4 linked regions of the Tamandua tetradactyla genome follow. The protein of the gene in region 3 interacts with the protein of the main gene of each other region in a biochemical or structural test. Links are inferred from orthologs where the notes say so. Each region holds a gene or a part of one and is shown on either strand. Other genes may lie near its edges. The genes, in order: NFKBIB, MAP3K14, CHUK and MAP3K1.

Region 1 (8,117 bases), on a different chromosome or scaffold from region 3:
TCACTCAAAGGTAAATCATAAATTAGGTTTGAATACTATAAACCCTAAGGCTGGGTCGGCAAACTTTTTTTTCCCTTTTTTGACATGGGCAGGCACAGGGAATCAAACCTGGGTCTCCGGCATGGCAGGCGAGAACTCTGCCTGCTAAGCCACCGTGGCCTGCCCAGCAAACTTTCTGTAACGGTCCAGATAGCAAATATTTGAGGCTCTCTGAACCACATGGTCTCTATCCTGACTATTCAACTCTGCTGTTGTGACACAAAGGCAGCTATAAATAAAATGTAAATCAGTGAGCATGGCTATGTTCCAATAAAACTTTATTGATAGACACTGAAATTTGAATTTCATATCATTTTCACTCGTCACAAAATATCTGAATATTTTTTAGCCATTTAAAAATGTGAAAAACAGGCAGGCCATGCTGGTGCAGTGGCAGAGTTCTTGCCTGCCATGCTGAAACCCAGGTCCGATTCCCGGTGCTTGCCCATGCCAAAAAAACAAAACAGAAAACAACAACAAAAAATGTAAAAACCATTCTTAGCTTACAGCCATACAGGAGGCTGGCTGGATTTTGCTTACGGGTCATAGTATGGCATCCCCTGCCTTAAAGCAACCACTAAAATAACAACAACAACAACAAAAAGTTATAGCTAAAAAGCCAACAAAGGAAATAAAGTTGAGTTACAAAATACTCAGGTATTCCAGAAGAAAGCAGAAAAAAGAGGGAACAGGAAACATAGAACCGGTGGGACGAAACAGAAAGATGATCAATTTGAACATAACCATATCAACAGTTTACATTAAATTTAAAGTGTTTAAACACCTTAATTAAAAGGCAGAATTGTCAGATTGAATAAAAAAGCAAAACCCAACTATATGTTGCCTACAAGAAATGCCCTTTAAATATAAAGACACAAATAAGTTAAAAATAAAATGATGAAAAAGATATTCCATGCTACACTAGTCAAAAGAAAGTTGAAATAAATATTTAATATCAAAGTAGATTTCAAAGCAGAGACTATTACAAGGCTAAAGAAGGTAATTTTATAATGGTAAAGGGGTCAATTAGACAAGAAGACTTAACAATCTAAATCTTTGTTCCCCTAATAACAGAACTTCAAAATACACAAAGCAAAAACTGAGAAAACTAAAAGAAGAAATAGACAAAGGCCCAATTATACTTGGGGATTCAATATTCCTCTCTCTATAACTGGTAGACTGAGTGGACAGAAAACTAGCAAGGATTAGTCGACTTCAACAACCCTATAAACCAATTTGGCCTAACTGACATTTAGAGAACACTTCACCCAGTAACAACACAATGTACACATTCTTCTCAAGTGCATACACAACAATTACCAAGCTAGACCATATTCTGGGCCATTCTGAGTCTCAACAAATTTTAAAGGATTTAATTCATGCTAAATATATTCTCTGCCTACATGGAATTAAAAAAACTCAAGAGAAAGATAGCTGGAAAATCTCCCAAATGTTTGGAAACGAAATGACATACTTTTAAATAATCCATGGGTGAAAGAGGATATCAAGAGAAACTAGAAAGAATATTGAATAAAAATGAGAAAGATAGCTGGAAAATCTCCCAAATGTTTGGAAACGAAATGGCATACTTTTAAATAATCCATGGGTGAAAGAGGATATCAAGAGAAACTAGAAAGAATATTGAATAAAAATGAGAACACAACATATCAGAATTTGTGAGATCTTGCTAAAGCAATACATAGGAGGAAATATATAGTGTTATATGCCCATAATAGCAAAGAAGAAAAGTCTCAAATCAATGGCCTCAGCTTATATTTTAAGAAACTAGAAAAAGAGCTGATTAAATCCAAAGTAAGCCAATAGAATAATAATAATGAGAACAGAAATCAACAAAAGAGCATTAAAACAATAGAGAAAATTAATGAAACCAAGAGCTGATTCTTTGATAAGATCAATATTTATGAAGTGCCCACCAAGTATCAGGCATTGTTTGGGTCACTGGGGAAGCAATAAATGTAACAGACAAAAATCCCTAGGTACACTCCCTTGTGGTTCCTTCTGCTGGAATGCTCTTCTTCCCTGCTATTTGTTTCATTTCTCTCTCTCTCTCTCTCTCTCTTTCTTTTTCTCTCTCTGCCTCTTACTTCCTGTCTTTCTTTCTCTCCTTTCTGTCTTTCCTTCTGTCCATTTGTCTACCCCTACTAGAATGTATGTTCCACAAGGTCATATATCTGTCTATTGTCTTCATTGTTTTAACTCCAGCGCCTAAAACAAACAGTTCAATGAATAATTGTTGAAGGGATGAATCCGTGTTCTCAGGGACCCTATATTCTCTCTTTAAATGTAAGATTTGAAATTAGTGCTCAGAAGGCAGGATCTTAGAAACAGAGGCCAAATATTACTTTCAGAAATCAAAGTATAAGGCTCATAAGTCACCAGCTAAGGATCAAAGATCATCTTGGAGGTTGGAGATCAGGAGGAGCTGGAGTCAGAGTTCTAACAAACGTCTCAGGACTGGAGTCAAAACGTTCAAATCCGGTTTTCAGATCAATGGGAAGGGATGTGGATTCCAGGAGCTGAGAATCAGATTCAAGAAAGGAGAGTCAGAAATGTGTTAGAATCAAAGTTGAGTAAGAGATTGATGTTATCAAAGGTTAGGACTTGGGGGTTAGAGGTCAGGAAGTCAAGGCTTAGAGGTCAGATTTAGTGGTAAGAGGTTAGGGAGCCGGGATCAGACACCATAGGAGAATCAGGTTAAACTGATCTTTGGGCTAGACTTGGGAGTCTAAGATTCACTCACGTGTCCCCATCTTCAGTGACGTAGCCGAAGACGAGGGGAGCCCACGACAGCCCCGGGCCCAACTCCGGACCCAACCCTGGTCCTCCGGGGGCTGCTGCGTCCGGGCCCAGTGAGCCCAGACCACTGTCACACCACTCATCCGCGTCTGCAGCTTTCCCCAGGCACGCGACCCCGGCCATAGCCCCGCAGCCTCCGGAGTCCCCCGCGGCACCCAGCCAGGCTACTGCTGGGCTCTGCCTGGATCCTAACCCTTCCGCCCTGCGGGGAATTCCCCAACACTCCCCCTACTTTGCCCAATCAGAGTGGGTCAAAGCTCTCTCTCCCCGCCCCATTCCGCTCCAAGACCAATCAGAACGTCCTATTGTACTACAGCTTTCGACCCATTCCCACATTTTCCGGGCGCCCTTTACCAACATGGCTGCCGACGCCAGGCCCTCTGGAACTTGTAGTCCGGCCCTCTCATCTCCCTTATCCGAAGAGAAACGCTCGCGGCGTTGTGCTAATCACTCGTATGCGGTGGTCGTGGCTTCTGGGAGTTGTAGTCCTTTGCCTCCTCACTGCCCCTCCCGTTTCCGGTGCCGTCACGGGGCAGAGAGGTCGGTGACAGCCCCGAGGGCCCCGGTCCCGCGCCCATGGCCGAGCCGGACCGTGAGTCAGGGGCCCGGGTGGGAGGATCGGGCCGCGTCGGGGCCTGACAGCAGGCTGCAGGCCCCGGGGCCCGAGAGCAGGCGCGGTGGGGCAGGAGATCGGGCAGCGTGGGGGCAGTGGGATTTGAGGGGCCGTTGCTAAGTGATCCGTGGTGTTTGATTAATGAGTGTCTGGGTCGCGAGAGTTTTAAGGGCCCATTTGCCTAGTGCCCCAAATTGCTAATAATCGCATGTTTCTCGCACTTCGGTTGCTAAAGACCCTCGTTACTAAGGACGTGGGTTGCCGCCGTCCTGGTTGCTAAGGGTACCTGGTTGTAGGATGCCAGGGGATCCCCTGGTGTCCCCTTCTATCTCTTGCCTCAAGTACCTGTGCCTCTCCTTAACTTGCCACCAACCACCCATCCCTATCCCGGCACCTCCTCTTCCAAACCCGGCTCCCAGCAGGGTATCCCTTCCTATCTCCTCTCCTCCTTTCTAAACTTCCCTCTGCCCCTACACACACTATTATGCTTTCCTAACTACTCCTGAGACTTCCTCCAAACCCTTTATCCCTTCCTTTCTCCTCTCTCTCCTCCAAACCCTTCCCCTCTCCAGCTTCTCCTTAAGATCTGCTTTTCCCTTCCCTACCTCTATTCGGTTTTTACCACTCCCCTCACTAGTATAATTAGGTCTTCCTAGCCCCCACTCCCACTTTGAACCCTTTCATTCCACCTTAACCATTCCCTCCACTGTAACCACGTCTGCTCCCCCTCCTCCCCCAGCCTCTGACCCTCTGGAGACCCAGACAGGGAAGGTGCAGGAGGCTCAGGTGAGATGGGGGGAAAGGGTGGACTGGAGGGAAGGAGAGAGATGGATTTGTTCCCACTATCCCACACTAGGCTCTCAGCTCACTGCCCCAATCCCTCGTCCCACCCCAAGGTGCAGCGTCCTGGGGGATGGTAGATTGTGGGGCCTGCCAAAGAAGGGTATACTGCCTCAGTCCCAGGCCTGCCCTTCCAAGCTTACCTCTTTTCTGTCCCCTCCCCACCAATCCTTCTGAACCTCATTCGTGCTGGGCCCAGAAGAGACAAGCATGGGATTTGGTCCCTGATAGAAACCAACCCTCCAGGGTGACTGTGGAGGTAGCTCAGGGTGCTGTGGGGGCCAGAATATACTTTGTGGGGTCACAGAAGAAACCACCCAGGCCCCTCCTTGGAGAAATCCACAGACGGATCTAGGTAAGACTGAGTTATCGACACAATATAATAAGTGAGGAGTGACTTGGAATTTTCCTGGACAAGATGAGAAATGGTGTTCCAGGCAGAGGGAAAGCCTGGAGGCAGAAAAGTATTGGGTAGCTTGATGGCTGGGAATGGTAAAAAAAAAAAAAAAATTTTTTTTATTGGGTACTTACTCTGTCGCAGATATTCTGCTTAGTGTTTTGGGTACATCGTCTTATTTAATCTTCCCAACATCCCTGTGGGGGGAAGGCCTGTCATTGCCATTTTGAGGGAGAGTTGTTAAAGCGACTTGTCCCCTATCCCTTGGCTAGAGGAATAGGGACGCCAAACCTAAGACACCCGGCCCCCTGCCTCATAGGTGCTAAGCAGGAGGTGGTCAGGGCAGCCTTCCAGAAGCTTATGGGCGTCAGCCAGCACCTCCACCTCCTCTGCAGGCAGGGCTGCCCCACGAGCTGGACAGGGCCTGCCATCCTCCCACAGAGCCTCATTGTCTACAGCCTGAAGGAGCCCAGCCTGCTACCAATGCTTTTCAGATGTAGGTCGGTGCAGAGGCCGTGTCACAGTTCCTCACGAAGGCCCAACAGAGGGATAGTGAGGGTAGAAGAGCTTCCTGTCAAGCCAGGGTTTCTCCATCGCCTAGCTCCAGAGTGTGGCTACTGTCACTTGTGGCTCAGAGAAAAAGGTTTACTATTAAGAAGGGACCCTCAGTGCCAGAGAGAGAGACACAAGGATGTAAATTGCAGTGTTGTCTAGAATAGGGCAAAACTGGACATGGCCCAAAGGGCTGTCAGTGGATGGGTTAAGTGAAGGCTGGCACACCCACACAATGCAATCCTATATGGCTGCTTAACCCAACGAGGTGGGTCTGCAGGAGTTAATTCTGTGAAAAACTGCAGAGTGCAGCAGCCTGCCTGGGTGGGACCCATTTCTGTGAAGATAATTAGGTTTTTGTTTTTTTGTTTTGTTTTTAACCACCAATACATTCATTTGAGGGGGAAAGGGGTCAAGTCTTATGAATTTTTTTAACGGGGTAAGACTAGAGACACTGATCGGCAGAACTTCTGGATATTCACAACTGCCCAGGTAACCAGTCCTGCACAAGTAGGGTCGTCATTGAACAGGTGGGCATTAGTTGAGGGGGACATGTTCTGAGCAATTAGGAGATTTCTCATTCCAAAGAAGGTGCTATCCTCATATCAGAAAAGTAGAGATAATGAGGTTTTATTTACAGAGAAAAAATCTGGAGCAATTCATATTAGAAGCTTAATAGTTATCTTGGTGGACAATGGGTGAGAAGCAGTACCCCAAGTTGTGCATTTTCTAATGTTCAATGTTTTTGCCAACCTTGTGTAATCTTAAAAAACAATAAAAATGTAAAAATATGGTTGGACGGGGGTGGGGGTGTCCTATTAAAAAGGCTCAGAACCAGGGTAGTGAGTTGGGGGGAGGGGAGAATGGTCCGATAGGTTTTTAACAGGAGAGTGAGGTAGTCAGACCACAACCCATCCCTGAGCTAATAGACCGCAGGCAACCCGTCCAATGGTGGATGGTTCTAGAGCTTCTGCTAGGCCAGACCCTGTTCCAGGAGCTGGGGATTCAGGGATGAACACAGCAGACAAGTCCCTGCTCTCCTGGAGCTAACATCGTGGGTACTCCATAGCTGTTCATGGTTGGATGCTTAGACTGGAGAAACAACGAAGGGCCTGTGAAGGAGAGGGTAGATGGGAGGCAGAGAATCAGCCCCAGAGCCCAGGAAGGAGGCCAGGGCAGGGCCTGGATGGGAAAGGACAGGGGGAGCAGCTGGAGGGTATTCAGCCTGAGTGGACATCTGCAGGGCTGATGAGCTGTGATGGGAAAGCAAGGGCATGGGAGGCATTCAGGATGAGGCTCAGGATTCTAGTGGGGAGCCTGGGGGCCGGTGAGGCTGCCCTGAGAAGGGGCTCGAAAGGAGGAACAGACTTGGGGGAAACACGGAGGCTAGTTTGGGACACATGGGAGTGATGGCCCTGGGGGTCACCCAGAGACAGGCGTCCAGGAGGCCACAGGGCACCCCCGGATCTGAAGACAAAGAGGTGGGCGTCCTCAGTGTCTAAGCTTAGGCCATGGGTGTGGGTGAGAGCGGTGGTCTGGGGATGGGGGTGGGGTGGGCAGGGGAAAAGAAAGCAAAGAGGGCCCAGGATGGAGTCTCAAAGATCAGCTATTTGGGAGCTGAGGGGAGGGGTCAATAAAGGAGAGGGAAGGGTCAGAAGTGGAGGCTATCTAGGGCTTCAAGGAGGAGGGTGACAGGGCCAGCAGGGTGAGGACAGGCCTGTGACTTTGGTGAGGTTGACTTGAAGGCCAGACATAGGACAGAGGCAAGGACCGGGGCAGGTGATGACCACAAAGCATTTCCCAAGCAGTTAACCCCCAGGATGCTGGTCTAAGCCCCTCACCCATGTCAGCTCATACCCTCTTTTTGGCCACACTGAGGCGGGCTCCATTTCAGAGACAAGACACACGGAGACCCAGAAACGTGACGCCACTGGCCCACAGTTATACACTAGGGAGCTACAGGGTCAGGTTTCCCACCCAGAGCCTGCATGCTGACCCCAGCACTGTCCTTGCATCACCCCTCACCTCCTGAGGACCACCTCCCCAGCCAGAGCTTCTCCCCAAACCTGGATGTCACCCCTACCCTCCTGTCTCCTTCCCTGACCCTCCTCTTGGCCTGGCCACCTCATCCCACCCCTTCCAGGAGTCAGGTTCAGACACTGAAGAAGGAGCGACTGGAGGAGAAGCAGAGAGTGAGTATCTCCTGGGGGGGCAGGGGTCTGGGTGCCACCCCCTCACCTCCACCGGGGGGTGACATTCAAAGTATGTAACAACAGGCCTGGCCAGGCTGGCCATCACGACTTTAGTTGTGGGGAGCCCAGGGCATCCCAGGGCTGGGGCAGGGGTTCTCAGGACAACTGTGCACTCTGACTAAATGCCCGCCCCGCCGGAATACCTCTTCTTTTTGGTCAGTGGACTTCCTGCGGAATTTCTTCTCCCAGACACTGGGCCTGGGCACTGAGAAGGAGCGACGGCTGGATGAGCTCACTCTGGAAGGGGTGACCCGCTACATGCAGAGCGAGCGCTGTGAGTCCCCTGCCTGCTTTTGGCTTCCACCCCTACCGGTGATTTTTCAGGCCCACCTGAATTTAAAAAGGAGTGTGTTGGTCAGCTTTAGGCATGCCTGAAATCCAGGTGCTTCCATGTTGTTGCTAAGAAACTAACTCTGTCTCTTGACTCTGCTTTTTTTCTGTGTTGGGCTAATGATAGGTCTTGGCAGCTCCAATGAGAGCTCCAGCAGGCCAGCAGCTGTGGTGGAAAGAGAGCACCTCATTCCCAGTGGTTCAAGCCAAAGAGCAGAGAATGACTCCCATTGGCCCAGTTTGGGTCACATACCTGGCTCTGAGTCAATCATGAAGT
Region 2 (7,503 bases), on a different chromosome or scaffold from region 3:
TTCAAGGGATTTATACTGGGAGGATAAATAACTAGAGGATATAAAATAGCAAGAAGGAAGAGGGCCCTTTAAACTAAACTACAAAGAAAGAAGCACAGGCACTAATGAAAAATTTCTTTTCTCAGCATTGGCACTCAGGTAAGAAGATGAGCCCAGAACTAAAGACCCATATTCAACACACTTCAATGTTCTGCTCAGCTCAACTGAAATGTTAGCCTACACAATTTGCCCTATGCCTGGCCTTCCATTTCTAATCGAAGGCTTTCAAAATTTCAGTCAGCAGCCTTTACACGGGCGTCACTCTAAATGCTTACTCTGCCCCTTGAAGATGCTCAACCTCTAATCCTTTCTGTTACAAGAGCTCTCAGCGTGCAGAGGCTGGAGTGGCTGGCTTCTCCTTACAGTTTCCCAAATTCACTGGCATGGATTTCCTCCTCTCCCCACCAATTTCACTCTGGTGCCATCAAAAGTGCCCATAATGCTCAGATGTTTCCAGTTTAACTGAAATGCTAAAATGGTGCAAACAGGAAGCATCAGACAAAACTGCGGTAGTGACTTATTAATCATGAAAGCAGAATTTTAGTTGCATTTTAACCTTTTGCCAGGAAAAAAAAAACAGCTTTGAGATGATGGAAGCCATTGGTAGAAAAATGCTGCCTGTTTGTGTATCAAGCTGATTTATACTTTTTATATAGGACTAAATTTGGTTTTTAGACTTTCTGAACTTTCCCCCCAGAAAGACCATCTCTCAGGCCAATAAATGTGAATTTGTCAGCTCCTCATCAAGGCAGGCAGCATTGTTAAGAAAGCCCATGTGCCGTCCATTGAAACAGGAAAAAAAAAAAAAGGAAATTAAAAGGGACTTCACAGGCCAAAGTTATAGAACACTTATAAGAGGGTGCCAACAACAAAGAAAACAATCCTGGATGAAGCTTCACCTCTTTCACAGCTCTACAGAGCTCTCACGAGACTCTGGCCAGGGATGAACTGTTATCACACACACACACACACATACATACACACACACAAAATCACAACAATTGTCTAGGGTTGAACAACTAATGAGGGCAAGCCCACTTCTCAACATTAAATGATAAACACTCCAAGTAGATTACAAAGGAGTCAGTGTTCAACAGGAGAATCAAAATGAGGAACCAAATCTCCATCTGTTCAGATAAACGGCCCAACCAGACAGTTTTGTTTAATAGATGAAGGCCCGTTTGGCAGGGTCTCTCTGGTGCTGCTCCCACAAACTCTAACAGACAATACCATGAGTGAAAAACCCCCTTCAGAATTGCTCCCTGTAATCTGAAAATAGTCCGAAGATGACTCCAAGCTTTGTAGTTTCTTGCTGTCTGATTTCACAAAGGTACTGGAACATATACCTGGGTACTTATTTCTAAAATTAAAGTTAGAAACTGTTACTTTTATTTTGAGATCTTCTGTAAAGTTCATCACATCCTTCAAAAAAACAAAGAATATGTCCTAAAGGTGTCTGAAAAGCTTAGAAGTCTGGCACACCAAACCAAAGTAACTGACTTTAACAATCACCTAAAAAACACAAGAGTAAATCTAAACACATTCTAATCAAGACAAGCACCTCTTAAATGTCCTCTGATGTTGAGATAATAAACACCACACCAAAAACTTGTTCCTCTTTCTTGCATCTGATTCCTATTATGTTGTCCTGGTCCAGGGGAAGGAGCCTGGGAAGACTCAAGAGATCCAGGCTCAGGTTTCCACCCTCAGTCTTAGCTATGATGCCTTTGAGGTATCAGGCAAAAAATATAATACCCCATTCCCCCCACCTCACCTATAAAACAGGATCATTCTATTTTTTCACACATATGTCTGAAGGAAAAGGGAGATTACAGGTATGAAGATACTTAGTAAAGTAAAAAAAAACATAGCACAACTGTTAAGATACTATCTTCCTGTAATCTTTCAGAAAGATTTACCACGTTTCTAGTCAAGGGGTTTTCAACATTTTTCCTGGAATAAACTTCAGACTGCTAGTTTGTGTCATGGCCCCACTCTCATATTTAATTTCACTTGATTTTAGATCAAGTCACGGGTGTTCTTTGTCTCCAGTTACCAAAAAGCATTTTGTCACTTTCACGGCTGATTTCTCTATCTTTTCTCCATTGAGCCTCCCTTCCCCACAACCACTCAATATTCTCCAAATCACCCCTTTAGGGTTAAAAGCAACATTTAAACCTCAGCTAGGACGGAGACACTTTTCTGAAGTTTCCAAGCACCAAGGAGGCTCCTGGGCGGTGGGACTCTCTGCACTGTACAAGTCGCCACTCTCTGCCTGGTGCCCAGCTGCTGCAAGTTGCCAGGACCACGATGGGCTTCCAAGAAGGGAATATTAATCAGAGCCGACAGATAAGATGTCCTGAGTGGAGAGGACAGAAGAATTACAGAGCAGAGCTGGGGCCAGAAAGGAGGGAGGATGCTGCCATGACCAGCAGTGCCCCTCTGGGTGCCGAGGGCAGGCTTGGGTCCTTCTCCTAGCCTCGGAGTGTGACCCAAAAACTTGCCAGCGAAGGCCAGGTGGGAGGTGCACCCACCAGGCGCACTTCTGCAGAAAACACCTTCCGTCCCGTGCCGGGGTGAGCCCCACTCCTGGGGGACGCGCAGGGAACCGCGCAGGAGGGGTGCGGCCTGGCTGTGGGACATCTGGGCGCAGTGGCGGGGGGTGCTGGGGAAGGGGAAGCAAAGCACCTCTGCGCGCGCTTCAGGCAAGCGTGTGGCCTGCGAGAGTGCGGCCTGGAGGCCCGGGGCGGGCAAGGCGTGCGACCGTGGCACCGGCAGCGCGTGTGAGGGCGCGCGGCGTTTGGCGGCGGGTCGCGAGGACCGAGGGTCCGCGCGCGGGTGGGTCTGGCTAGGGCCCGGGTCGAGCCGCCGACCCCCACCGCTCCTGGGCAGCCGGCCAGGCCGCGACCGGCTCAGGGACCGGGGGGGCAACTCGTCCCCGCCACTCTCTCAATGCCGACCCCGGGGTCCCGCTCAGTCACCTACCGGCCGAGCGCCGATCTCCCCAGCCAGCAAGTGTCGCGCTCCCCTCTCCCGCGATCTCCCGTCGCGGGTGGCCGCCGGCTGCCCTCCCGGAGCACTGTCGCCCCGCCCCGGCTTCGGGACCCGCCCCCTCACCACCTTCCCGGTCGCCCCCGCGGCCACGCCTCCCCCGGCGGCTCCAACTTTGCCTCGCTTGGAGCCTGCTTTCTCGGGCCTCAACGTGATCCTTGGCTCCGCCCACCCCCCCACACTAACCAATGAGACGGCCCCAGTGCTCTCCTAGGCCCGCCCCTGTCGGCCCGCCCCTCTAGCGACGATTGGTTCTCGAGGCCCAGTTTCCAGAAAAGGGCAATCTTTCCGGACAGTTTATAGAAAAGAGATTGTAGGGCGAACAGACTGACAGAAGGCGGAGGCGGTCGAGGTGGTTGGTGTAACTACACATGCGCGCTCGGCTTCTGGCAGTTTTTACCGCTTGCTTTCTTGAGGTTACGGGAAGGAAGGGCGAATGTGCGCGTGCGCGGGCACTCCCAGTCTCTGACTTGGGTTACCTTGGAGACGGCGAGGCGCTCCCCCTCCTGGGTCTAGTTCTGCTTCCTCTTTGCTGCTGGGCGGTGGCGGCTGAAGGAGGTGGTGATGGGATTAAAAACACTTTTATTGAGCGCTTGCTGTGTGTCTGGCGCTGTTGAGTCCCTAAAGAAGAGGAAAGCAGGTTGCAGTGCTTGCCTCGAGAAGCTTAGGGAGCCAAGGGCCTACACAGGTCAGGCCTGTGTGTAGACACCGAGGCCTGTAATAAGAGTGTGCGATGCACAGCCAGAGAAACATTGAGGTTAGAGACTGCACCAAGCATCCTCTCGCTGGATTTAGTGGTTATGGAACAGAAATAAAAATTTATTTTGAAAAGTTTGCAAAATAAAAAATGCGCCCTTACCCTGGACACCCCATCCCCATCAGGGCATTCAGGACAGGTATGGTAACTGATTCTAGTGATGAGATGAACCGGCCCCATCAAAGGCTGTCTGTTTTGAGAGGCAAAGAGCACCCCATCTCTGGAACTGTGGCCAGGCCACCTTCTGTTCAGGATCGTTTATTTTTTATTTTTGGCATGGGCAAGCTCCGGAAATGAACCAGGGTCACTGGCATGGCAGGCGAAGAATTCTGCCACTGAGCCACGGTTACCTGCCCACAGGATCACTTTTAAGACAGTCCTTGGTCGTTCAAGGTCTCTTTCTGGACATCTGCACCCGACAAATATTTCTGCTTTGGGGCAGTAGGGAAGGGCATTGTCGAAAGACAAACGGGGTCAAGTTTGCAAATTGCGGCATTTTGTTTGGGACATCAAAAGTTTTGCTGCAGCAGCAGAAGCCAGATAACTTGTAAGAAGCGAAATAGTTTCTGGGTTCTCGGGATGGCAAACGATTTTTATAGACATTAAAAAAAAATAGCTTGACTCCTGTTGATTGGACTAGGGTTTGTCTGTCTTATAGGGGTAGGTTTAGATCAGGTAGGCTTCCTTTTGTATTGGATCAAATAAAATGGGGTATCGATTGGTTATCTGGGTCAGCTGCCTTGGTGGGGAAAGTCAAGAGAGAGTTCAAAGAGGAAGTAACGCACGGGGTTTGGGGGCTCTGAAGGGTCCCCAGAGCTGTCTTTATATAATTTTATTAATTTTCCTTCTTATGGTCATTCCCTCTGTTTCAAAGGCTTTACCAAAGATGTTGTTAGTCTCTTATTTGCCACTTGAAGCCTTGTGTTTCATTATTGTTTTCATAGGTTAGCTGAAGTTCAAGATTTTTGTTCATCCCATTCAGAGTGGTTTTGAATCCTCAGTTATCAGTTGTCAAGTTAGTGACTGTGCAGCAGCATTTAAGAGGACAGAAATCAGACAACAAATGAGGGATATTATAAATATGATTAAAAGGATGACAAGTGCCCTTATTAGAATATCTCTGAGCCAAGATCCCCATGACCCTAGAATCCAACCAAAAAGAGACTCAGACCAATCAGATTCAGGAGGTGTGTAAACTGACACTTCTCAAGCAAGGGCTTCTGTTGTTACTACCTCTTAGTAAACTTCCTTTTGACTGTCATTTACAAATACAAAGCACTGTGTGCCCACTAGTGCACACACTTCCTTGTAGAGGAATGACTCCTCTAAATTTATAGACAAAATGACTCCTTTTGTCATTTTCAAAGTTCCAATACTTTGCCAGTTAGTGAGCTGATGCCTGCCCTGGGTGGGAGATAGATTTTTCTAACTCTAAAGCTACCTTTTCTATTACCAACTGTAATTGGTTAGTGTATCTTCCATATAGGAGATGGCTTCCCTAATGACAAGGGGGACAGTACCAAGAACAAAACACTCCATGAGGTTAGCCTGGGCTAGTGGGTTTTTCTATGATCCAGTTGGCAATATTCTCTTCATAAGTTTCTATAGTATTGGAAGAGACCATAAGAGCACTCTTGTCTCTAATTTTCCCTTTTGAAAGCTTATCATTAGTAGTCATTTGGGGAAAAGCATAAGTTGCATTACAAGAACTAACCCAATTTACAGGTAGTATTTTTGTCTACATACAAAATAGTGTCCTCGAAGAGTTTAATAAGGGTATATCTATTGCCTTTAATGAATGGAACATTGTTGTGTAGAGCTAACTGGGTGTAAACACCAAAAAGAGAATCTTAATCCAACATCGTCTTCATTGTTACCTGATATCTTAGTCACAATTAATCAACGATTTCCCTCGCCTGGCTTTTCAGCCTACCAGAAATATTTGTGCCTTGAGTGGAATAAGTTCTTATGCTATTAAAACCTTGGGGTGCTTGGAGAAAACTGGTATCAGAAAACTGGCCCCAACATTGTACTCTTGGCTCATAAAAGTAAAAGGAGTCTTGTCACATAGAAACTGAACATATACTATCCCTACAAAATGGCCATTTTTGTCTGTCTGCTTTCTAGTAAAAACATATTCTTTGGGTTAGAGAAGCCGCATGGTAATCCCAGTCTCAGGGGCTCTTAAGGAACAACCCCGAGTCATTCCCCAAAAATAATCTCTTTGACTGGGTATCAGATGTTTCCTGTCAGACCAAGTCTGCAAGTGTAAGGGGGATGGTTATTAGAGGAATACTTATTTGGGGACTAAGTGGGGGATGTGTACAGATCCAGCAGTTACCCTGATTGGTTTCCTTTGCTATATGGTGTGCTAGAAGAACAAAGGAATTGTGCTCAAGGCAGGTGTACCTAGGGGAGAAATAGAGTAAAATCATGATGAAGGTAGGGTATTATTGGGGATGGATATTGGGCATTGTAAGGAATGTAGGATGAATAAGAGAACATTTAGACAGATAGTGAAAAGGAAGAGACAGAGAATACAATAAAATTCAGGTGTGTTCTAGGGCACCATCTACTTGTTCCAATGTCTTGGGCAGAATCTGTCTGTGTCAAATGCTGTCTGTTTCTGGAATCTGTGTGTCAATTTTAGCTTGAGGTCAGAAATGGGATTAATCTTCCAAGGGCTTGGAGCTCGTTTTAGTTGTGACATGTGGACCCAAGGGTCAGTTATACTGCTGTAGTTTTATGGCTGTAGTTGTGGTCAATAAGACTTGAAAAGGTCCTTTCTCTCTGAGGTCTAAGGCACTCTTTGTTGATGTTTATCCCAGTATATCAAGCCTCCGGGTTAAAGATCATGTAGAGTTCAATATTGAGGAATCTTGGGAAAGGCAGCCTAGATCTGTGAATGGTGGAACTGAGTATATGAGATTCATTCCTTACAATAATTAGCAACTTCACAATGTAAATGTGAAATATTTAGATTGGAATCAGTAAAGTAGGAGAAATAATAAGCCTCATGGGTCTTCCCATTATGAGTTCATAGGGGGTTAGCCAGTCTTCTCCTGGTGGGCTAGACCTTATGGCCATCAAGGCTAAAGAAAGATCCCTAGGCCGTGGTAGAGGGAAGGATTCAAATAATTTAGCTAATTTAATTTTTATGGTACCATTTTTTTCATTCTACTTTTCCTGACAATTAATATGTTAGGGACAGTGAAGCTTTTGGTTCCTTGATTAAAGTTCAGTAAATTGGGAGCCTCTATCCCTTGAGAGAATAGCAGAAATTCCCCAGGTGGAGAAAATAAAGTCTAATGGTTTCTATCTACTGTGAGGGCTGCAGCTTTGTGACAAGGAAAAGCCTTTATCCATCCAGAAAATAGATATACAATAACAAGGACATGTTCATATCCTATAGAAGGAGGTAGTTGTATAAATTCCACTTGAAGACGTCCAAAAGAGCACTATCAGTTGTGGTCTTTGACCCTGTCCTACCTTTACAGTTTTACCAGAGTAGAACATAATCTATATACTTGTCTTACTTCTCATTTAAAGTCCCTTTTTTTTCTTTTATGGCTGAAGATGAAGCTCTGAATTATAACTGACTGCAGACATTTTCAGAGAAGCATCCTAGTAAAACAACGTAACTGACAAGGAAATTT
Region 3 (7,252 bases):
GAGAATGAGAGATTCAGAGAGAGCAAAGCAGAAGAACATAGCCACGAGAAGCAGAGTTCACCAGCCAGCAACCTTTGGAGATGAAGAAGGAAAATGCCTCCCAGGGAGCTTCATGAAACAGGAAGCCAGGAGAAGAAGATAGCAGATGATGCTGTGTTCACCATGTGTGTTTCCAGATGAGAGAGAAACTCTGTGTTCACCATGTGCCCTTCCACTTGAGAGAGAAACCCTGAACCTCATTGGCCTTCTTGAACCAAGGTATCTTTCCCTGGATGCCTTAGACTGGACATTTCTATAGACTTGTTTAAATTGGGACATTTTCTTGGCCTTAGAATTGTAAAATAGCAACTTATTAAATTCCCCTTTTTAAAAGCCATTCTGTTTCTGGTATATTGCATTCCGGCAGCTAGCAAGCTAGACCACCACCATAAACACAATCTGGTACAACCATGAACAATGTTAAACCCTAAATTCCAGTGAGAATGAGGCAGGAAGTAATCTGCTTCAAAAACGTCTCACCCCAGAAGATCTTTTAACTTCTTATGTCACTTACTCTGTGCAGGCCTTTCCCACTCAACCACTTCACAAAGAGTGTTTGGTGGGAAGTGTATAGATGTTCAGCAAAAATAAATAAATAAATAAAACAAAACCAGTTCTGTGTTCAAATACATTTGGAAAAGTTACTAAATAAAATTGGTTTCTTTACTACAGGATTTCTTAGAGCTCTTACTATGGTAACATGGGTTATGAATCTCCAAATGAAGGAATAGTATACGCAACATTTACCAAATGCATTTGGCCATCATATCCTTTTTGAAAGTATTTCATGGGATTAGTTTTCCCAAACACATTTTGAGACGTGCCACCCTCTTCCCCAGAAAGAATGCTTCAGTTACTATGGCCATGCTTCAATATCACTTTGCAAATACCTTTGTTATAGATTATCACATTGTATTTTAATTGTTTTCCTGCCTATCTCTTCCACTGGACCTGAGATGTTCTTGAGGGCAAGGAATACTGTTTTTGCAGATTTAGGTTTCACCAGCAACCAGTAATGTCATCAGCTAAATAATACATTTCACATTATTTTCTTTATTGTGCTTTAAAGGGTATAGATGAAATACTGGGTCATGGCTTCCACCAAACGTATGAATATCTCGAAAACTGTAAATGTAAACCCCAAGTCAGGTTTGGAAAAAGAATGATGCTGTTTCCAAGTCTTATGACAGAGTATTCCTTCTCTCCTCAATATATGCTCAGCTATCAAATGTCCTCATTTTGGGAAAAGGGTCTCTATGTACAACAGGAAATTTCTAAGATTTTAGAGGAACCCAAGTCTCTTCCATTTAAAAAGTGATAAGTTCATTCAGCCCCAAACAGAGACCAGGAGAAGCAGTCACAAAATCCTATCACCATATATGCTTCCTCTCTTATGATCGGTTGATGGGGAGGCTTAGATAACAAGACTATAGGCAACATTCCACTAAAAGCACTTTGGTTCTTTGTTTTGACTGTCTTAAGTACCGCCCCCCCCCCCACCTCCACACACACCTTCCCGGTGAGAATTACTAAACTTATTACTTCATTGGCTTCAAAGTACTTAATGCCTTAGGCTTTTACCTTCCATTTGCCCTCTTTCCAAGATTTCCTCCTATGCTCTATCTAGAAATCTGCTTCACAAAACTTCGTTCTGTTAGTGACATTTGTCACTCTGCCCCACAAACATGCCTACCGTCCCCCAGGTAGACTCCCATTTCCCCTTCTGCCTACCCACATTATGACCTCTACCCACTCCTATGTTCCTTAAAACAGCAAATCATAATTTCTTTTTTTTAATAACCTTATTCATTCACAGGCCAAATACAGGCATTTTAATATTTTCTAACTGTTCATCTTGCCCCATGTTTTTCCATTCAAATTCATTATTTACAAAATAATCTTCTTAGAACACCACTTTTACCTTACATTTCCATTTTTAAAACCAATTAATGAGGATGAAGATGATAACAGCAACAGTGATATAGCAGCAACAGCTAATATTTGCGAGCTTATCATGGGCCAGAAACAGTATACTTAGCTTTACATACATTATTATTTTATTTAACTCTCAAACAGACCCATGAAATATGTATATTATACCCATCTTACAGATGTCAAAACAAAGGCCACATTGCTGGAATTATTAACCCAAAGTCTATATACCTAAGAGGTCTGCTAATATGCTTCAGGAGACTGTAAGCCCCCTCAAATAGCAAATGCATAAGATACCCAAGGTCGTGTAGATATGCCTGTGCGTTTTTCTGGGGGTAAGGGTTCATAGCTTTTATTGGTATCTGAAAAGATACATGACTCAAACACGATTATTAACTGCTGCTACAATGGTTAAACATCTTCAATTAACTCAAAGTAAAATTCCTGGGTCCGATATTAGCTGTCCTCCACAAACTGAAATCCTTCCTCCCTCCCCAATCTTATTTCCTTCCCTTTGAAGTCATGATCATTTTCACCAGCTCGTCCTCACACAAGCAACCTGGAATGTATGTCCTATTCCAAAGCCTACCCATGCTTCCAAAGGCTTAACTCTTGGACCCACCATGAATCCTTCTCTGCTCCAGCCCCTACTAATATCCTTGGCCTCCAAGAACACACAGGTAAAAACACATTCCAACAGGCAGCCCCCATTCCTTTATCCCCGTTTTCTCATCCATTCGTGCTCACATACATTAACTCTGTACACCTGCTCCACACACCCTGACGCTCCACGTCTACAAAAAGATCTAAATATCTAAATACCTTGATACATACCAAAAATCCTCCCTAATAGCTCACTCTCACAATGACCCAGGACCACTCTCAACGTGTTCCTACAGACACAACTTCGGATTCACAAGCACGGTATCACACACACGCACGCTATGACCCACTGGCTCTCCAACACTGTCCAAGTCTCACATATATTGACAGTCACTGCGTTTCAGACAAACACCCACCACCGCACCCTCTCGCGCCCGGCCTCACCCGATGCTGGTATAGGCAGACGTTCCCGAAACCGCCGGTACCCAGGCGCTCCCGCATCTCCCAGGGCCCGCCCGCGCCCGGCCGCAGCCCTGGGGGCCGCTCCATGGGGCGGGAGGGGAAGCAACCTAACTTAACCGCTGCTCCCAGGCCGGTTCCGGGCCGCCGAGGGTCGCGCGTTTTTCTTCTCGCGAGATGTATGCGTCACTTCCGGGAACTGTCTCAGCAAAGCCCCGCCCCAAATTCTCCGGGTGCCGGCCAGAATCCTAGCGGTTAAAGGGTGGAGAAGCCAGGAAGACCTCCAAATCCACTCTTGGGAATGCTGTAATCATTTTTCTAACCTAGAGGATCCTGTGGGGTTTTTTTCCAGTCATGAAAATATAAGCTCTGTCCAGATTATACATTCCATTCAAACCATTCTCTTATATATTTTTCTTTTCCAAACTTCAGATTGCCTCCCGCCCTGTCTCACATCACCTTTTCTCAGGCTGCTCCATTTATCCTTCAACCCCACCGCCCACTGAACCGGCACTGGCAAAGGCCACCAGCTATTTAAATATTGAGGAATCTGAAGAAATCGAAAGAATCCTGCGCAAACAAGCACATTGATGCACTAGCCTTCATAGTTCACTCCCGTAAGCGTCCCGTTTGTCAGAGACCTGCAGAGCTCCAGTTTGTTTCATCTAGGCTTGTCGATTCTGGGCTCAAGTGTATGAGTCTCAGCTTATTCGTGAGTAAAATAGAGGTAATGATACCTACCTCTTGGAGGTTTCGTGAGCATTAAGTAAAATTTACTATCTGGATCATAAGTGCCCAATTATATAGGAACAATTACTTTTCTTTTGGCTTTCAAAATATGGCATTCCCCAGGGATCTCTGTGCTCCTTCTCTGTGCACTTGTTGGACCACTCTATCTCCAGGCTACTCCTTAAATATTAATTTCTCAGGTAGCCATCCTCAGCTTAGAATTTTCTTCACTCATTTTCATAATTTCATCAATGGCCTATATCTTTATGATCCCCAAATCCCTATCACCACCAATCTAGATGTCCATGAGTTTAGATCTACCCAACAACAGATGCCACATCTGTTAGATCTCTCAGGCATCTCAATCTCAACATAGCCAAAGCAGAATTCATCTTCTTTTCTTAAATCTGCCCCCTCCTCCTCCAATTAGATGTAAACTCTGAGACAACAGGGACCATGTTGGGACATGGCTATACTCCCGGAGCCTAAAAAATACCTGGCTCATAGGAGGAAATAATTGCTGAAGGACTGAATGAACTTTTGTACATCAAAATGAATGCTATGAGAAAAAATGTTAAGGATCTTAGATCTCTTCTGTACTCTGGCTTTCTCAAGGAGAGGCCACCCTGTGTGATTCTGAGATAACAACTACACCTAAAGCCTTGATACCTCCTATTACACACACCACCTCATTTCAGTAGTCACAAGTAACATGAACACAAAACACCTGTCAACAATGGAAAAGTTTATGAATTTTATTTGATGGTTTCAATGTTTTTGAAAATTTTGTTAAAACCAGGCTGTATTTGGAACTGGATGACAGACATACTTTTAATATAGGGTTTTCATGAATGTGACTTTTCCAAAATATATTCAGTCCTAGGCCTCTTACTGCAGGCAGGTTCCATAGGAATGCATGAAAAAGAGGGTGGGAAAAAGTCCCCATAGGTATATGTAGTTTCTTTAAAAACAGGCTGCTGCTACTATCTGTGAAGCTCATAAAAAATCTTTCCATTTGGTTAGTCATCCAGAGTGAAGTCAAAGGGCTCAAACTCTTTCCGGAAACAGCGAGCTAGGTTCTCCTCCTCTTCCCTGCTGATCTGACACTGCCTCCAGTCAGACTTGTCAGGAATATTAAGGATGGCTTCACTGGCCAGGACCTCCCTGAAGAAAGAATTAAAGTCAAAAGGACAGCATCAGCTGGAAATCCCCCTCCTCCCTCTGTTCCTCTCCAATCAGACAACTCCTCAGTGTTACCCAAAGAAGGTATGCAAATTCCTCTGCTTGTACCATTTTCCTGTTCTTAGTGCCATCTTTGCCATCCTATCAACATCATACCAACTTAAATGACCAGTTCAGGTCCCACCTGTTTCTTAATGCTCTGTACCCCACTAACTTCTTCCTCTATTGAACAATTTTGAATTATACTGTTAATACTTTGAGAAACAACATGACACAGTAGAAGGAGGGCAGACACTGGAGTCAGAAAGATCAGAGACTTGATTCCATTCCTAGCTCTGCCACCTGTGGTCTGTTACTTAGACAAATTACTCTATCTCTGAGTTTTTACCTCCTCACCTATGAAATGAGAATAATATCACCTACCTTACAGGGTTTTTATAAGGTGTAGGAATAACAGTCAAACCTCCACAATAGCTGTGACTACAAGTTAAACTCTAGTCTGTCATCCCAACTAGACCATAAGGGCCTAGTAAAGTGAGATACCAAGTGTCATACCCTCTCTGTCTTGAAATTCTTCTGCCTCTCCTTCCACAGAATTCAGGCCAACACAGGCAAAACTACACAAGCTCACTATCAACCAAACAACTTATCTTGACCCTCAGGACTGAAAGTTACTATATGCGGACACACTACACACAAGCTGCCTTCTAATGCCAGCGTTTTTATTTGTATTTATTTTTACTCACTTTGATATAGTAGAAATAACTCTATTTGTGCATTTATATGGCCAATATTCTACTCTGAAGCTACAATAAGTAGAAAAATTGAATTCAAATCACAGAATTCCTCTAAGTCAAAGAACTGGAGCTCAAGTTCTGTTTCCTTAGGCAAACCTCTGAGCTACTTCATCTGTTAAACAGAGAGAATATTGTCTTTATTGTATAGTTGGGAAAATGATATCTTTCTAAGTTATTTTCTTACCTATAAAATGCCACATAACTGTAAATTAGTACTCTGAAAAATACTAAATGTTGAAAATACAACCATCATGAGCACAAAACCATTTGGAAAATCTCCCTTTTGTGGGCTTTATGTGCCTGTGTGTCTGTGAATCATGAGCCTGCAAAGTCAGTGTCCACATCTTCTTGTTGCTGAGGTAAAAACAAAAAGATAATGTCTTTTTGAAAATGCAGACAATTACATTTACTAGACTTATTGAATAGTGGCAATCTCTTGGGCACATTCTACATCAGTTCAAAACTGGTTCAAGATTCACTTAAAGCCCAGTTCTAACTAGGGGTAAAAAACAGCTACAAATGAGACACCAGCTTTAGATAATCTGTTCTGCACATTTTCTATTCTCCTCTATCCTCTGTCTCTTCTTGCCAACGTCTCCGTCTTCAGTCTTGGCTTAATTTTTATCACCCTGTATGTGGTTTTTCAGTTACGTACTACCTAATATTAGGAGCAGAAATGAAGCCTCATCAAGATCTTTAGGACAATAGAGAATAATGATGTTAAGACCTCATGGTTTGGGGCAAGTCAGATGTTAACATGTGTGACAGTAATTAATGCAGAATGTGAAAATGTTTTAGGGAACAATGAAAAAGTTTTAGAAGACAATTTACTTTAGAAATTCAGGGACAATGCATGAAATTGAGACAATACATGTACAGTTCCTGGCACAGAACCTACACAGAGCATATGCTCAATTAATGGAGCAATTTTCTATGCCTGGCTGGAGTGTCCTCACCCAAATCTTTGTCCTCTAAATCTATCTCTCAGGTTCAACTTTAATCCTTTCATGAAGACTTCCATCAAGTACAAATGAGCTCTCTCTTCTCTAAATTTCTAAAGTACATTGTTCTCCAAAACTTTTTCATTGTTCCCCAAAACATTCTCATATTCTGCATTAATTACTGTCACACATGGTAACATCTGACTTGCCCTAAGTCTATATATTTCTTAGGGCAAGTACTATTCCTTATTTATCTTTGTGTTAATTGTCCATGCATCTCACTACATTGTTCATATTAGATCTAGTAAAATTACATTTAAAAGAAGAGAAGCAAACAAACCTTCCAAACTGTAAAGGAAAATTCTTTTTAATTCTGTGAAAAAGCTTCTCTCCTGTGTCAAGTTCAACATAAAAATATGCTGCTCCTGGCTGTGCAATCTAAAGTAAACAGAGTTGCATGAGTTATAGTATAAACTATAATTTAGCAAAAATTCAGTCTAAAAACCCACAAAAAAAGAAAAGATACAAGTAGTTTACAGATACCAAGTCACTTGGGGAACCAGATTTTAA
Region 4 (7,080 bases), on a different chromosome or scaffold from region 3:
TTATTTTAAGTACATGCAAACAAATGCAATATGTTTAAATGGTTGGTTATGAAAATGGAAACATAAAATAGCTTAAATATTCTACTTTCATTTAAAACATATAAATAATAGAGTTTTGTTTGGGGTTGGTTTGGGACTTTTTGCCAGTATTTGACTGCTTAGTGTTCCACACATCTTTCTCATGCTTACAATGTTCAGTTTTACTTTCTTTGACACCAAATGAGAAGTGATAGTTACTTACAAAGTAAATTATTCTGAAGCTGAGAACTTTTTTCCAACCTTCTACAATCATCACACCCACAACTAATTTGATAGATTTGTTTTCAGTGACTTGCCTTCATTCACTCTTTCGAAGCATTCAACTTAAGTTTTTGTTGGAACAACTTTCTTTTGGCACTCATCTACCCATGCTTATTAATAATCAATTTCCTAAAATTTAATTAAATTTCATAAGGACAGTTATAATAGGCTAATCAGGTTTGGGAGCAAATACAAGTGGTTCCTGCAGGGCCCATGACTCACCAGGTGGAAGCAGATGTGGGCAGGTGCATACCAGCCACTGGCCATGGACATTCATTGGGCCCTGTCACCCCTCAGCAGGTTGTACATAAGGATGATGGGTGTGTGTTAATGAATGCGTCAGCTAAGGGGAGGCTGGCTGACTTTGTACTATAATGTCACCTACAATGCCCTTCTGGGGGGACTGGTTATCTACAGATGACAAGATTTCAGGACTCAGAACATCTAGAAACACCTGGGAAGTATGGTGTCTAGAAAGAGCATAGAGAAACTAAGTCCCAGCCCTACTCTGCAAGCATTTCCTAGTAAGTATTTTTTTTTTTTTTTGGTATGGGCTAGCACCGGGAATCGAACCCAGGTCTCCGGCATGGCAGGAGAGAATCTGCCTGCTAAGCCACTGTGGCCTGCCCCCAGTAAGTATTTATAAAGCATGGCAGAACACCAGCTTTTGCCCTACTCTCAAGTTTACATTCTTACTCTTATGCCTTCCTAAGACATAGATCTCTCAAACAGAGGCATGAATACATATGTACATATTGGTAGATCTGACTTTATTAGAGTCAGCCTAATAACCACAAGAGAAAACTCTTTGTATATTTGTAGTACGTGCTTAATAAATATATGATGAACAATGTACAGTCTGCACTATTTCTGCCACTGCATATTAAGTCTGTTCATTTCAACATCAGAGATATTTGTGCACAACGAGGAAACGCACAAACATTAAACTAGATCCTGCAAATGAATGTGATGTAGGAACTGAAGTGCGTCTTAGGTGATTCCCAGAAGCACTAGAAGCAGTGATCTGTAAAGCACTGCGTAAAGGTTACAAAAATTGTTGTGACATAAACGAAACCACTGCAAGGTTTGTATCCTTGAGTGAGGATGGAAATAGTAACTGGAATATTCAGCTCCAGAAGCAATCTTTGAAGTCTCCTTAATGTCATTAAAGAAATCAAATTAAAGCAACTCAGAGTGTACAGAATAGCTTGATAACTGACCTATATCTCTGTGCAGTAATATAGAGATCCAACAAACACAGAAGCTACAGTCTTACCCATACTTAAAACTCAGAAACCATGTTAACAATTCTACGCAGTTAAATTCTCAAAGAAGATGTTGTATTTAACGTATGGCTTTTCAGTCATGCAGGTCCTTTGATTGTTTTTCTCTCTTTAAAAAGAAAAAAAAGTCAGCTTGTCAGTGTGGATGCCTAACGGCAACCAGAATATTTACATAAAAGATTAAGAGTAAAATGATTCAAAACACCAAAAACTTGGGACAGACCATCAGTCAGGTTTCTTGTTAGGGGTGAGATGGGGAGTGTTTGGTGTGCGGTAGATTGAGATGGTCAGAGAAAGTAACTAGCGTTGCATGTGGTACCCCTCTGCTTTGGTCACAAGGACATATAAAGAGCAAAGGTAAATGTTTTGCTGGAGTCCAGTTTTACCTTTGCAACTGTGCCTAAACTTCAAAATTGGGACAATTTTGAAAGGCTTCACATTTCCACTCAATTTTCTCACTTACCTGAGGATGTGTGTGTGTAAATTTAAAGGTTTTTAGATCTAAATAGGAATGTGGAAAGTTTATCCTTTTCAATTTAGGAGTTAGTGGGTGTGGCAATCCCGGAAGACCTGGGAAATAACTACTGTTTGGGTTGAATGATACACTTGGCTACCATTAAAACAGCATATAATTATAGCCTAAATGTAGACTTGAAATTTTAACAGATTTATCCAAACTTTCAAAATTTGTACCGTTGGACGTAACTACCTAAAACTCTTATGGCAGCTGGTGTAGCACCATTCAAGACACCGAGCTAATATAAAATCAGTACCCTTAAAAAATTCGGCTCCGATATCACATTTATACCTGGAAAGAGGGCTTTCATTGTATGTATTCTCAAGAATTCAAAGGAATTATTACCTAGACAGCTCAGGCTTTTGTCTAAGTATGTTTAGACTAACAAGAAAGTTCTCTTTCTGCATGACACTCCCCCCAAGCAAGCAAGCAAGCAAGCAAGCAAACAAGCAAGCGCGCGCGCACACACACACACACACACACACACACACACACGTCAGGTCAGGTCTGTTTAATTTTTCACAAAACAAATCTTAGGGGCACTCCTTCTGTCTTCTGGGAGATTTCCCAATACAGAGAAACCGTCTTAAGGAAAAGAAGGGAGAGAAGAAAAACAAAACAACTCTACCGAGCTTTTCGAAAAAACATGAACATGTAAACGGTGATTTTTCCATCCCAGGGCACCGTATCGCAGGGATTCTCCTGGGGGTTGGAGTGGTTCAAACGCCGCTGCTGACACCGCCAGGCCAGGGGGTGGGGGGAGGAACGCGCTCCGTCCCCCGACCCCGCGAGTAAGAGGGCCGCGCAGCGAGGGGCCCCCGGGGGGCGGGGAGGGCCGGGGCCAGGCTGAGGACCGCGTTGTCGAGCACTTCCTGGCACAGCGCTAGTTCCTTCTCCAAACGTGCTCTACGTGGTCCTGTACTCGCCTGCCTCTCCCAGCGACTGAGCCGAGGGAAAAAACAAAGATCCGTAGGGAACCTGCCCTTCCGCGTCCAACCGGGTTGGGGATGTCTCAAATCAGTGATTTCAGGATGTGAACAAGGTATTCCAGAAAACTTTGAAGTTTTGCTCTTTATGGTCTACGAGTGGTGGGGGACACAAAAAAGGAAAAATGTTTTTTAAAAACGCAACTTAATACTGTCATGGTCTGCGGCTGCACGTCCGCTGAACGCTGGTTTTCTTTCGCCGTGCAGCAGGCGACAGCCCTGGCGCCACCTGCACGGCCCGTACCGGGCGGGAGGAGGGGCGGGGGGAGCTGCGCTCGAGTGCCCCGACGCCCACTGCAAAGGACAGCGCGAATGACAGAGTGCAAGCCCTCTTCCCTGCGTCCTCTTCAACGCACCACAAGCCCAGGTTCACACTAAGTATTTATTTCGGGCGCTGCAGCCGCTGTCGGACGAGCTCCGAACCAGCCAGCGGGATACTGCGGCGGAGATGACACGGCGCGACAGCGCCGCCGAAACCCCTCCTCTCGCCGGTGCTCCCGGGGACTACCTGGCGGCGCGGCGGGCGCAGCGCTTAGAGCCTACAGCGCCCCCGCTGTAGTCAGCGCCCAGCCCACCTCGCCCCGGCCGCGCACAGCTCACGCCCTCCAATCTGCAGCGCCGCCGCCGGCCCGCCCTCCGCCTCGTCGGCAGGCAGGACCCCGCGCTGCAGCCGGCCCAGGCCACCGGCAGAACGCCCGGCGGGCCGCGCTCACGCAGTTGGCGTAGGCGGCCTACGCTGGCGGCGCAGTGCCCGCCCGTCCGCCCGCCCCCCGCGCTCTCCCCGCCCCCTCCCTCCCTCGCAGGGGCCCAGCGAATGTAGCCCGCGAGAGAAAATGGCGGCGGCGGCGGGGAATCGCGCCTCGTCGTCGGGATTCCCGGGAGCCGGGGCGGCGAGCCCCGAGGCGGGCGGCGGCGGGGGTGCCCTCAAGTCGAGTAGCGGGCCCGCGGCGGCCGCGGGGCTCCTGCGGGAGGCGGGCAGCGGGGGCCGCGAGCGGGCGGACTGGCGGCGGCGGCAGCTGCGCAAAGTGCGGAGCGTGGAGCTGGATCAGCTACCGGACCCGCCGCTCTTCCTCGCCGCCTCTCCGCCGTCCTCTTCCCCGTCGCCGGAGCCCGCAGACGCCGCGGCGAGCGGGAGCAACTTCCATCCTGAGGCAGTGCCGCCGCCCCACGGAGCCTCGAACCGCGGCGGCGCCCACCCTGCGGAGCCGGCGGCCGCGCCGGACAGCGGCGCCCCGAACCCCGCGGGGGCCGAGTCGGGGGAGAAGCGGGCACCCGCCGCCGAGCCGCCTCCTGCAGCGGTCCCCACCGGGTGAGCAGCGCGGCGGGGGGCACGGCGGAGACTTGCGGGACGAGTGGAGGGCAATGAATGAATCCCGGACGCGGTGCACGGCGTCCCCGGGGCTCGGCGCAGGGAGGGTGCAAGCCTCTGGCCGCGACCTGAGGTCTCTCCGCCCCCGGGCATACACCCCCTGACCCCTCCGGCGTCGGGCGAGGCGCCCTGGACCCGGCCTGGGGAACTGGACAGGGGCCCGGGGCGGGGACGTGCTGGAGAGTTTGTTATTGTTTGCGGACATGTGACAGGCGTGCGAGCTGCACTGCAGGCACCCGTGGCGATAAGGTGTGGGGGTCCCGGCTTTCTCTGCGGGTCTCCGGGAACTGGGGCGCTCGGAGGAGCCCGGGGCGTGAGCCCCCGCGCTGCACTCGGGGTGTTTCGAGTCCCGGGCCCAGGGGGGCGGGGAGCTGCCCGGCGGCGGTGGCCCCAGACTGGTGTCCCGGGGTGAGGTCGGAGCCTTCGGGCGGGCGGAAAAGGGGCGGGGTAGGTGGGGAGCGGCGCCGGGGGCTCGAGTGCCGAGGCAGGTACCGCGGGTCGGGCCGGGCCGGGGGCGGCGTGCTTCCGAGCACCGGCCGCAGGGGACTCCCGGTGTCCGGTGGGTAATGCCTGTCAAAACTCGCAGGACTTGCAGTCTCTCCTGGCTTTTTTCTGATTGCGTCCCCCAAGGGCTCCGAGTGTTCTTGGGAACGCGAACTGTCCGGGAAGACGTGAGTGACTTCTGTTTGCAGTTTGCATTTGGCCTTTGAAGTTTACATTTGGCTGAGTGGTGTAAGAGCCGGGACCGGATGTGTCAGCCATTCAGTTTCCAAGCGGTGGTGACTGCACGCCGCAGCCCCTCGGGCGAGGTTCGGGAACCGCGGCGCGGTTGCGGCGCTTCCAGCTCTGTGCAGCTGCGCGGGCCGCCCGCCGACTGCCGAATTCCTGGGGTCACAGTACTGGGAGCTTCGGCTCAGATAAGACCCGTGGTGCATTTGAAGTACGATGTATGTAACATAGTTCAGACGAGCGGTTCATGGCCTGACCCCCCCCCCCCCTTTTTTTTTGGGGCAACTGGAAATTTTTATGTTAAAGGAAATACACTAAGTGTGACAGCCTTCATTCCTGTTTTTGAAAAAGATCTGACCAGTGTCTGCAGAGCACAGAGTCTTGGTGGGGTATTTCGAGTTGCTGCAAATGTTTTTGTGAAAGTCACCCGTTGCCCTGTAGAGAAGTACCAGACCCGTACTATGAGTCGTGTGAAGTTCTGCAGGAGTGTCTGTAATAGATTTGTATTTCTTGTGAGATGAGTTTAACAGTAGGAACCTTTAGTTTGGGTTGATTTTCTAATGTGATTTGGCGCTTTTTTGTGAGCTTGATTATTTAAAATCGCCGTTCGTTTATTATTTGCAAGCGCTTTCCCCGCCCCCACCCCCAAAAAAGAACTAAATTTTAAAATATGCCCAGGACTGTTTCATGTCTAGATTGGAAGAAGGGAGATTTGTGTGCACTTGTACATGTAACTCAATCAGAGTTTTATTCCTCTGCAGTTTCCTGTTCCATGCAGATTGCACTAAAACTTAACTGGGATAATTCTTTGAAGACAAATTGTTACCACCAATGTATTCCAGATAAAAATTGTAAACTTGAGAAATTAATTTTATTTCTTCTCATGAGACTTAACTCTTTGGATACGGTAATTCTTTAGTAATTACTTGACATTCTACTATTGAATTGTGAATACAGTATTAGAGTAACCTTTGTGAAAATAATATACAGAGGTTGTTTAGTGTAGTTCCTTGACTCAAAATAAGAGGACTAAGGTAGAGACAGAACTGAGGGACTGAGTAGTCCATGCTTAATTTTTATGTTTTACAACCTAAGCTTTTTCCTGTCTTTGTTAAGGGGTGAATTAAAATTTGCAGTCTGTGCTACACTGGAGTAGTTAGTATAATCTTTTTTTTAAAAATGATTTCATTAACCATAATGCTATTTGTTCATCCCAAATGTCATCTCTAAATATTTTATTTATGGTAAAATAGTGATTCTCTGTCCTTTTAAAATGCATTGATTTTTCCAATTTCCTTGGTGATGGGATTGAAATTCACTTGGTTTGCTTGGACATAAGCACTCTAATTATAAGCAGAGTAATGAAATTTCAGTTGAACTTTACATTATACTTTTTGACAGTAGTTGCATTCGTATTTTCAGGAGGAAAATCTAATGTTGAGATTTTGAAATATTTTTATTTGAGAAGAGCCCCTCTGTCTGAAGGCCTGATGTATTTTTTTAAAGGAGAATTTTGTAATTTTGATTTCAGAATTTTCTTTAGTTTCTGATCTTGGATGTAGATTCAAAGTTGTAGAAAATACATTTGTGAGCTATAAATGGAAATTTTTAAATCTTCTTCATAGTAAAAACTGAAATCAGTAAAAGTTTTGTGCCTGTAAGTGGCGCCCAAGGGTTTGAAATTTTTCCTTTTATTACCGAATTAGGGGCTTTTTCTTCCCATGTACTGTCTTTGAAGAAAAATTACAGTGTTATTCTCCATTGAACAGGTTATTGTGAGTTTAGTAGATATAATGACTCCATCCTATTTTTGTAACTTAAAAAAAGCAGGCTATCAATTTACTGGCCCCATGAAAGAACAAGATATGCTGTACTTATTAATGTTAGTTTTTGTTT

What was found.
Region 1: of the proteins of CHUK (region 3) and NFKBIB, one has a biochemical effect on the other in vitro, tested with the Homo sapiens proteins (2 studies listed by BioGRID). The link is inferred for Tamandua tetradactyla from reciprocal best matches to the Homo sapiens genes CHUK and NFKBIB.
Region 2: of the proteins of CHUK (region 3) and MAP3K14, one has a biochemical effect on the other in vitro, tested with the Homo sapiens proteins (5 studies listed by BioGRID and IntAct, with this or other methods). The link is inferred for Tamandua tetradactyla from reciprocal best matches to the Homo sapiens genes CHUK and MAP3K14.
Region 4: of the proteins of CHUK (region 3) and MAP3K1, one has a biochemical effect on the other in vitro, tested with the Homo sapiens proteins (3 studies listed by BioGRID). The link is inferred for Tamandua tetradactyla from reciprocal best matches to the Homo sapiens genes CHUK and MAP3K1.

The regions. Positions count from the first base shown.
Region 1 is NC_135342.1:25,107,966-25,116,082, forward strand, and holds the start of NFKBIB (NF-kappa-B inhibitor beta), read right to left. Parts: upstream 3,101-8,117; 5' UTR 2,980-3,100; coding exon 2,801-2,979; intron 1-2,800. Other genes in the region: SIRT2 (NAD-dependent protein deacetylase sirtuin-2), read left to right, coding at 3,215-3,448, 7,402-7,450, 7,671-7,784. UniProt on the Homo sapiens protein: Inhibits NF-kappa-B by complexing with and trapping it in the cytoplasm.
Region 2 is NC_135332.1:22,168,744-22,176,246, reverse strand, and holds the start of MAP3K14 (mitogen-activated protein kinase kinase kinase 14), read right to left. Parts: upstream 3,135-7,503; 5' UTR 3,025-3,134; intron 1-3,024.
Region 3 is NC_135339.1:61,763,730-61,770,981, forward strand, and holds the start of CHUK (inhibitor of nuclear factor kappa-B kinase subunit alpha), read right to left. Parts: upstream 3,204-7,252; 5' UTR 3,124-3,203; coding exon 3,019-3,123; intron 1-3,018. Other genes in the region: CWF19L1 (CWF19-like protein 1), read right to left, coding at 4,782-4,926, 7,023-7,120.
Region 4 is NC_135335.1:103,418,138-103,425,217, forward strand, and holds the start of MAP3K1 (mitogen-activated protein kinase kinase kinase 1), read left to right. Parts: upstream 1-3,912; 5' UTR 3,913-3,919; coding exon 3,920-4,395; intron 4,396-4,516; exon of another isoform or gene 4,517-4,704; intron 4,705-4,944; exon of another isoform or gene 4,945-5,014; intron 5,015-7,080. UniProt on the Homo sapiens protein: Component of a protein kinase signal transduction cascade. Activates the ERK and JNK kinase pathways by phosphorylation of MAP2K1 and MAP2K4. May phosphorylate the MAPK8/JNK1 kinase.